Arabidopsis thaliana: one gene and its partner. The protein of the gene in region 2 interacts with the protein of the main gene of each other region in a pairwise test. Each region holds a gene or a part of one and is shown on either strand. Other genes may lie near its edges.

The links.
Region 1: the proteins of AT2G37220 (region 2) and AT5G25490 interact in a two-hybrid assay, tested with the Arabidopsis thaliana proteins (one large-scale study listed by BioGRID).

Annotation. Positions count from the first base shown.
Region 1 is NC_003076.8:8,874,134-8,878,480, reverse strand, and holds AT5G25490 (Ran BP2/NZF zinc finger-like superfamily protein), read right to left. Parts: upstream 2,161-4,347; 5' UTR 1,945-2,160; intron 1,849-1,944; 5' UTR 1,843-1,848; coding exon 1,421-1,842; intron 1,233-1,420; coding exon 1,142-1,232; 3' UTR 1,107-1,141; exon of another isoform or gene 922-1,106; 3' UTR 577-921; downstream 1-576.
Region 2 is NC_003071.7:15,633,966-15,638,584, forward strand, and holds AT2G37220 (RNA-binding (RRM/RBD/RNP motifs) family protein), read right to left. Parts: upstream 2,558-4,619; 5' UTR 2,367-2,557; coding exon 2,004-2,366; intron 1,890-2,003; coding exon 1,788-1,889; intron 1,517-1,787; coding exon 1,178-1,516; intron 1,081-1,177; coding exon 1,015-1,080; 3' UTR 969-1,014; intron 882-968; 3' UTR 501-881; downstream 1-500. Other genes in the region: AT2G37230 (Tetratricopeptide repeat (TPR)-like superfamily protein), read right to left, coding at 3,212-4,619. UniProt on the Arabidopsis thaliana protein: Could be involved in splicing and/or processing of chloroplast RNA's.

The DNA of each region.
Region 1 (4,347 bases), on a different chromosome or scaffold from region 2:
TTCTTTCTTACTTACATTTTGAAAACAAATTTTTAAGTATACCACCCATTACAAACAATTAAGGAAACGGTCATCGATCAGTTGCAATATTGTTGTTTATGACAAAACTTCATTGCAAAAATCTTCTTATGGGTTTTGTTCGACTGCTCGAATGTATGTGCGAAAAGATGGCCTTGAATACGCAATTTAATATATAGTGAAATCCGTATTTGTATTTAATTAAAATTAATTTTGCAACTTAATGTTACCAAGAAAATAAATTAGAATTCTAAACTAATTAATGATATATAACATAATTAATATTTTCTGATAACTATTCTCATTTTAGAGTGGAACTCATACATTTTCATTCGATTTGGTGGTAAGCTCATTATCACCAAGCCACATCATAATATGAATGCTCATGCATATTTTTTTTTGAGGCATTGGACAAAAGGTTTCGTTGTGGTCCATGCATCTACCCATTTCAAACGGTTACTAGAGTTTGTGTTTGGTTTAACGTAAAACTACATTCCTACTACAAATTATATAACAAAATTTTAATTGCATATATAATAACATTTGCATGCAATTTGGATTTGCGGCCACAGAAGAAGTTCTCAACAGCTCTCAGCCTCTCGTACGTTCAACAACTCAAGTGTTTCAAACTTAGATGAGAATCGTGATTGCGGAATCAGAAGGAAACAACTTTATCAGAAATAAGAATACATTCAAACAAACTTACATACTAGCTAGGAGACCGATATCAGAACAAAATGCTTCGGAAAACTCTCGACATGCTTACATTCTAACATAGGTCTGACTACTACGAGATATAAAACGAGTCAAATCTAAGAAATTAAACAAATCAAGAGATTAAGGGCGGTCGGTATCTTGCTTCGATTCTTCACCTTTCTGCTCTCCTCTAATGCTTCCAGAGTACTAAAAAAAATAATCAAAAAGATACGTACGTTAACGTTAAAGTACTATCGTTAGTGTATTTCACACTACTATTTAAACTTTTACGATATAATAAAGTTGTAAATGTTAACAAATTCTATCATCCAAATATATATGTCGAACTGTTTCTGATCAGAAGTTAAGACTATTGTTGAAACGAAAAGTACTTGGAAATGATGAAGAAGGTAGGAGGACTAAATGACTAATAGGGTGGTTCGGTGGCAAGTTCCTTTGGTGCGTTACACCTGAAACACTCTGACCTGCTTGCGAAGTTATGTTCGTTACAGCCTGACCTATAATATACAAATTAAACCAATCAGTTTCTACGATATGCATATACATTAATACAATTTAAACGGTCGTGTTTAGCTTACGTAAGCCAGCATGCATGTTTCTTTTTTGGCTTTAAGTTTTAACCATCAAAACATATTATTGCAAAAAAATAACATCAATACATAGAAACAATCAAACAAAAAAGTACCTTGGGCAAATCCAATCTCCAGATTTCCAAGGAGAACGGCCCGTACCACCACCACCACTACTGCTGCCGCCAAAACCAAAAAGGCCACGTCTCGGACCAACATTCATGTCCATAAACCCGGTTGTTGCAGCAGCACTTGAGCATGAAAACTCATCTTTTGCGGCACCACACTTGAAACAACTGGACCTATTGGCAAAATTATGTGTCCCACAATCCCCAAGGTTGCAATACCAATCCCCGGGTCGCACATCGGGCCCGGTGTTGAAACCGAAGGAGCTACTAACCGGACGGCCACCAAAACCGCTGAGTAAATCGGTACTGATCCCGCCCGGTCTAGGCTCTCTACAACGTTGGCATGAATCCCTCCTCTGGAAGTTGAGGTGGCTACACAATCTGCAGTTCCAATCTCCCGGCCTATTCATCTTCTTCTACAACACCATAGAAAATAATAATTAAGTAACAAATTACACAAAACTAAAGACATATGTATCTACAAATGTAACTTATATATATGTTATGATTACCTGAGGGTAATGGAAACGAAAAAGAGAGTTGAAATGAGTGTAAGAGCTTATGAAGGTGTTGTTGTACTCTCACAATATATTTATATGGACAAAGCAAAAGGCCCTTCCTTTAACAACCGGGAACATTTTTTGAAGTGAAATTAGGGTTTCAATTGGTTTTTACTTTCTTATTTTGCTACAGCTTTAATGCATTTCCCTTTAACATTTGGGTTTCTCCGTAAACTACGTTATTCCCAAAAGAAACAAATTTATCTATTTATATATATCGAGGACTTTAAATTAATTTATCATTTCTAGACCCCACTATTTTAAACAAAAAAAAGAAACACAAGGTTAAAGCTTTAGATATCAGCCGTTTTCATTTTGCGTCAGCTTCACAAAAGCTAATACTGGCAAATTCAATACCATTTACTTGACAGATGTATATATCTCCATATTTATCAACGTACGTACTTATTTTAAGACACCTAAATATTTTAAAATTAATCAAGACGTATTCTAATAGATTATTATAGTGCCAAATTATAATCCGAGTTTAAATTCGGAAGTGTGCATGCATGGGTTGTAAACGAACTTTTAATTTAAATTGAAAGATCAAAACAAAAATATGGGAGGAAAGTAATTTTAAAACACTAGTCCTAAATTCAAAGAGAAGTATTTACAAAAGAACCAAAATCTTACTGGTTGTTTATACAAGATAACAAACTAAAAAGTTTACCAGATTACATACCAAGATGACTAAAAAATATCTCTTTAATTAACTCTTGCTTTTAAAATGGTGGTGTGGAAATATAGATATGTAAACCTATATCTTTGGGGGCACGAAGGAGAGTGAATCCTATTTTATTGGTCTCGAGGTTTTATAACACTTGAATTGATAATGAATAAGAAGAACTAAACTAGAGATACTAGAAATCTCCGACTATATGGTAATATGGGTATATTAATATAGTTTTCTTGGACTTACTATATAATTTTTGACTAACATGTGGTTTCTCTATGAGACAAAATGAAATTTTCACTAAATTTCACAAACTAAACTAAAGCAAAGCAAAGAAAAGAAAAAAAGAAAAAAAAGATTCTTAGACCTTATTGGGACCCCAGTTCGTATATGCTTATAGATTTCTTGTTAACTGTATATGCACATATAGATTGACTAACGATGAGACAACTAAAGCTGATATATTCTCATTATCTATTTCGAGCATGTACCACTTTCATATTATCAATCGCAACTTCGTGGTATAACTTTTTATGTAGATAATTAATAATCACATGTATCTATATATTGATGGTCGATGGAGGAGGTACATGGATGTATAATATGCTCTTGTGTGTGTCAGGAGAAAAAGGATGTAGCATGAAGTAAAAAACTCTCTAAACTGTTAAAGCAAAAGTTGCATGGCAACAGTTTCAAGGAACGTATATGTTCCCTTAGCCGCGGAAAATTATAAACGTCAAAGGAATAACTTCTCTTTTCTTTAATTCAATTAGTCTTGTTACTAATATTCAAGTACATCCATCAGAACTTATTCGTTCGTGATTTTCAAAACAAAGACTTAAGAAAATCATGAAAAATTATAGATTAAAACAAAAACAAGAATCATTAAATGGGAGGGAAAAGGCTTTGAGGTTCGTATCTTGACCATCTACGTGTCCTTTTGATTCGTCTACTACAACTACAAGACAGTTTCATTCACTTTTTCTATTTAACCCTATGATTTTTATTTCCCTTACTATATATCCCACATACAAATTATAAATTGTCGTTTGTGGGTACACTGCAATCGCTTTTTTTACCGTCAAATCACCCTTTCCATTGTGGTATACTTGTCTCTCTAAAGTAAGAGTCAGCTATAAGATAATAAGACGAAAAATCCACAGTAAGATGTAACAGAAGAATGCCACGAATGACTAAAAGTTATATAACATATGAATTTATTTAACTTTCGAGATATATATAGGGCAGTAGAATACACCAGCAGTAAAAATATACTTAAATAAATGAAGAACAATATCTTCTAATATTTTTTCAATGTAAAATGTAAGATAATGTAGTGCATATATATTCCCATATATACATCCCAGCTCTAATTTTCATGCACTCCACCCCCATACAAGTGTTTTGTAATATTCATAAACTTTAAGGTTCCAACTCTAACCTTAAAGTTGAGATGCTACCATTACAATGTATAGGAATTAAAATATAGGTTATGGGGATTAAATATTATACGCATTATATCTATCCAACTCAGTCCATGGCTCCGAGCGTAATGCCTTATCCATAAGTCGCCGTAAAAGCTAACTAACTCGACGTCTCGACATTGAAGAAAAAAGAATGGGTAACTTAAAAAGAATATATAAAAATAATGGGAAGAATTATAGAAGAATCAAAATAATTAA
Region 2 (4,619 bases):
ATGATTTTTGTGAGGATATTTCGATGTTTTAATTGATTTGGATGAAGATATTACCTCCAAAATCACTTATTTTAACACTTATAATGTTAAAATTCTTTTAATGCAAAATCATTTGTATCCAGACGTACCATCTAAATTCATATACAGTTGTCGACAAAAAAAAAAAAAAAAAATTCATATACAGTTTGGGCCCAAACGAACAACATCTAATACATTTGCTAAGTTTCATGTAAGCAGCATCTAAGTCATAACTCAGAATACTATGTCATAGGAGACAGACCAATTGAGCTTAATGGACTAAATGTAGAAAAGCCCATTTTCGTAGTATTCAATCGCAATTACTTTCTATCCAAAACCGGAGAGTTTTGACACTATGGTTCATTACATTCAACATTTGGGCTTTGTGATTACCCAAATTGGAACCAGCTAGTTATTTGATCAATGGAATTATACGGCTCACGGCTGAACGCAAAGAATGATATCGTTTTGATGGAACAAACTGGCAAGATAGTGTTCATTCCACAAATAGTATTGGTTCGGTTTTAAACATTGCATGATTTGAGTTTTAACCGGTTTTCAAGTGTGTTCATATTCATTTGAGCAGAGGATCAAATAAACAGAGAAGCATTAGGAAGAAGAGACCACGATATAGAGAGAAAAAAAAATTGAATCAAAACCAAAGCGAAGCAGTCAATGGCAGCATTCAGACAGACAAGAACATGGTCTCTCCAGTTTCTATCTTAATTATACGTTTCTCAAAAAAAAAAAGACCATTCCTTTACGACCTTCTTGCATCCAAGGCAACAAACATAGGCGAAGCTAAGAGCTTAGTACCGTCTGAAACTGCCATCATCTCACAAACCCTCTTTACTTCGAAGCGCCTGTTACAATTTCACAACTCCATACATCAGTAATCAAGTAGTTTAGTGCGAAAAGCCAATCTATAAGTACAATGGTTAATATCATACCCTCCAGAATATGCGTTTTTGAGAATAGGAAGTCATAGATTGGTGCTCAATATTGGCGCCTTGGAGGCCTAGCCTCAGCTTCCGAGACTCTAATTTGTCTACCGTCCAAATCCTATAGGCCACAAGTAAAAGTATATCAAGAGTTGTTTGATTTGATCACAACAATGTAAGTGTATATTGGTATAAGTATGAGTACAAAAGATACTTACAGCACCATCCAAGGACTTGATGGCATTTTGGACCTCTTGAGAAGAGTCGTATGTCACAAATCCAAAACCCTTGGATCGACCACTGTCCCTGTCGTAGATGACTCTGGCCTCAACAACCTTTCCTTGCTCCGAGAACAAACTCTCAAGAGCCATGTCATCAACTCCCCAAGAGAGGTTACCCACATAAACACGGTTTCCTGAACCAGCACCAGAACCACCACCTCCTCCATATCCAGAACCTGAGCTTCCAAAGCTGCTCCTAGGTCCTCTGGAGAAACCATCTTCCCTCTTTGGTGGTGGGGGACCAGCATTGACTCTCAAAGGTCTACCATCCAACTCCTACAAATTCACATCAAAATGGTTAACCGAAGCAACCAAACCCTAATACAATAAGAACAACAACACAGAGGTCCAAGTTTTATCTTTAGAAGCCACAAGTTTGAAGATTGCATTCAAACACAGCTTATCACAGAAACATAGAACAACATAAACACATTAAGCACACACACCAAAACACAAACGCATACCAACAAGATAAGATAAAGCTAGTCCTCAGTGAATTCATATTCAACAATCGAAGATAGAGTAAGGTAGAGAAGTATATTCTTACATAGCCATTGAACTGCTGAGCAGCTGCCTCAACTTCAGAAACTGAAGACATAGTCACGAATCCAAAACCTCTGCTTCTTCCTGTAATTTTGTCATAGATTACCTACAAGACAAATAACAAAAAAAGGAGTAATGGTATCAATTTATCAATAAAAACCCTAAAAGAACAATACTTTCTTCTATAACTCACAAATTGGGGAAAACCCTAAATCCATACCTCAACCATCTCAACATTTCCGGCACTCTCAAAGAGCTGAGCGAGCTGAGCACTGTCAACGTTGAAAGGAAGGTTACCAACGAAGAGTTTAAGGTCAGCAGAGAAAGATTGCTCTTTTGGCGGAGCGACGTCAGCGAAACCATCTTCTTCCACCTCGAACTCTGAGGTAATCGCAACGTTACGGGCGAAGCGAGAAGCGGGAGAGTTCCATTTGGCGGCGATGGAGAAGGAAACGGAGTCGGAATTGAGTTTAAAGGAGAGGGAAGGAGATAAGAGGGAAACGGAGGCAGGTCTGGAGACGCCGAAAGGAAGAGATTTAGGGTTGAAGGAAGAGAGAGCGAGAGACGAAGCTGAAGCAGCCATGGGAAGAAGAAGGGATAAGGCTTTTAGGGGTTTTTGGGTGAAGAAGATGATTTTGAGAGTGGAGATAAGATGCAGTGTCTTTGGTATTTATGGGGCAAATGAATAAATATATTAAGTTCTTTGCACAAATATCTCAAACTTATTTTATTTTGTAATTTTACCTCAAACTATTTTTTAGGCTCAATATTCTGATTTCTGTTTTTTTTGTAAGAATTTTTATTTTCTTTGCAACTATTTGTTTCCACATAAATGATAGGAATTATTTTATTTTTCGCTTGTTTAGTAGTAATATACAAAAAATTTAATACATGTCGCAAATTGTTTCGTTTTGCATTTTAGTATGCTTATTGTATTTACTTTTCTAAATATTTTTTGTGATAAAGTTATGTGCTTTTCTCACTTAAATTAGTTGTGTTTGGTTGTGATTTTATTGGGACAGTCTACTAACTACTTGTCATAATATGAAGTGTGATGATAGATGAGATGAGATCTGGACCGTCGAATTTTGGATGGACAGTGGAGATGGCACGTCTCATGCTGAAGCTAAAAATCTATGAGAAGATAAGATATTTTACTAACAGCCAATGGAAGATGCAACTCTTGTTCCAAACACAAATCTTCGAAAAAAATCTTTTACGTATTTAACGTTTTCAAGAGGTTAAGAAACTAAATCAGGAACGATACAATTCCTACCAAAAAGAAAACACAGAATGATCATACAAACGCGTCCTTCAAAACAAGTTTCAAAAAAGGATTTATTTGGAGAAGATAACTGAAGTTGTTGACTTGACTTGAACCAACAATGAAAGGAGAATAACTTAAGAAAGAATCACTTTGTCAAGTTTCTATAGAGAAACATTGTTTTGTTTCTTGATTCCTTGTCCCTTCTTGATCATTCTAGAAAGAACATCAGCTTGCTTTGTGTTCCCTTCTTGGTTCAAGCTTTTGATCAGTTCATCAGAGCTCTTCCAATCTGTTGAACTTCCTTTCTCCATGATCTTACAAAGAACTGAGTACGCATTCAGAGTCTTCCCAGCTCCTAAAAGCGCATCCAACACTTTGTCGTAGCTCGAAAACTCTAAGCTGAGATCTCTCTCCAACCCGAAATCTAACAGCTTCAATGCTGCAATCGTCTTCCCTTTCTCGCTTAAGACAGATAAGAGGCTGTCCAGATCAGCTGTGTGTCCGTTTTGGTTCAGAAGATCTATACGCCCCAGGGCTTCTTCTACGTGTCCTCTCATTAAGAGGGCTTCCAAGATCTTGGCAATCAAATCCATGTTGTCTTCGATACCAACGTTTTTATCTATCATGATCATCATCACACGGCTTGCTGTCTGCACCCTACCATCCTCGAACAAACTCTCAATCACTGACCTGAAAAGCGATGAGTCTGGGACATGCCCGTCTTCGACCATGCTGTCCAGTGCGGTTTTCGCGTCTCCAGGCTCACCTTTGCTCATGTAGCTCTTGATGAGCAGCTCATATGCGTTTGATTCTCTAGGGACACCTCTCCTCGACATTATCTTCAGAATCTCGTAACTAGAGTCTGGGTTTCCTTCCTTTGCATGACCACGGATTAGATTGTTTAAGGCATCTTGGTCTTGGACACCTCTTTTCATCAGCTGCCTGAAAAGCACTTCTGCTTTTGCCGTTTGGCCATTGTTGCACAAATACTCGATTATTGGGTTGTAAGCGCTGGGCTCCATTTCCAGAGTATCCTGATGCCTCAATATGATTTCTTTCTCAATAAGCGTATCTAAAAGCTTGATAGCACGATTGTATGCACTAGCCTTGCATTGGTTCTCAATCAAAACCCCATAGTGTCCCGCCTCTGCTGGAACATTCAGTGTAGCCATGGCTTTGAGCACCTCAGTGGCTGCCGCCATATCCCCTGCTTTGCTCTGAGACACCAAAAGCTTAAGAAAGATCGAGTTATCTTTTGGAGCAATGTGTTTCGCCATCATATTCTTCAAGATATTCTTAGCCTCCACCATTTTCCCTGCATCACACAGACCAGGCAACAACGTCGAATACGTAGTAGCATTAGGCTCAATACCAGAAGATCTCATCTCCTCAAAGATTCTCAACCCATCATCAACTCGGTCCACCGCAAGATATCCTTTAATCATCGTGGTGTAACTCACAACACTAGGCCCAATCTTATTCCCTTTCATCTCCACAAACAACTTCTCTGCCTCATCCATCTTCTTAAACCGGCAGAACCCATTGATCATAGTATTAAACGTAGCATCA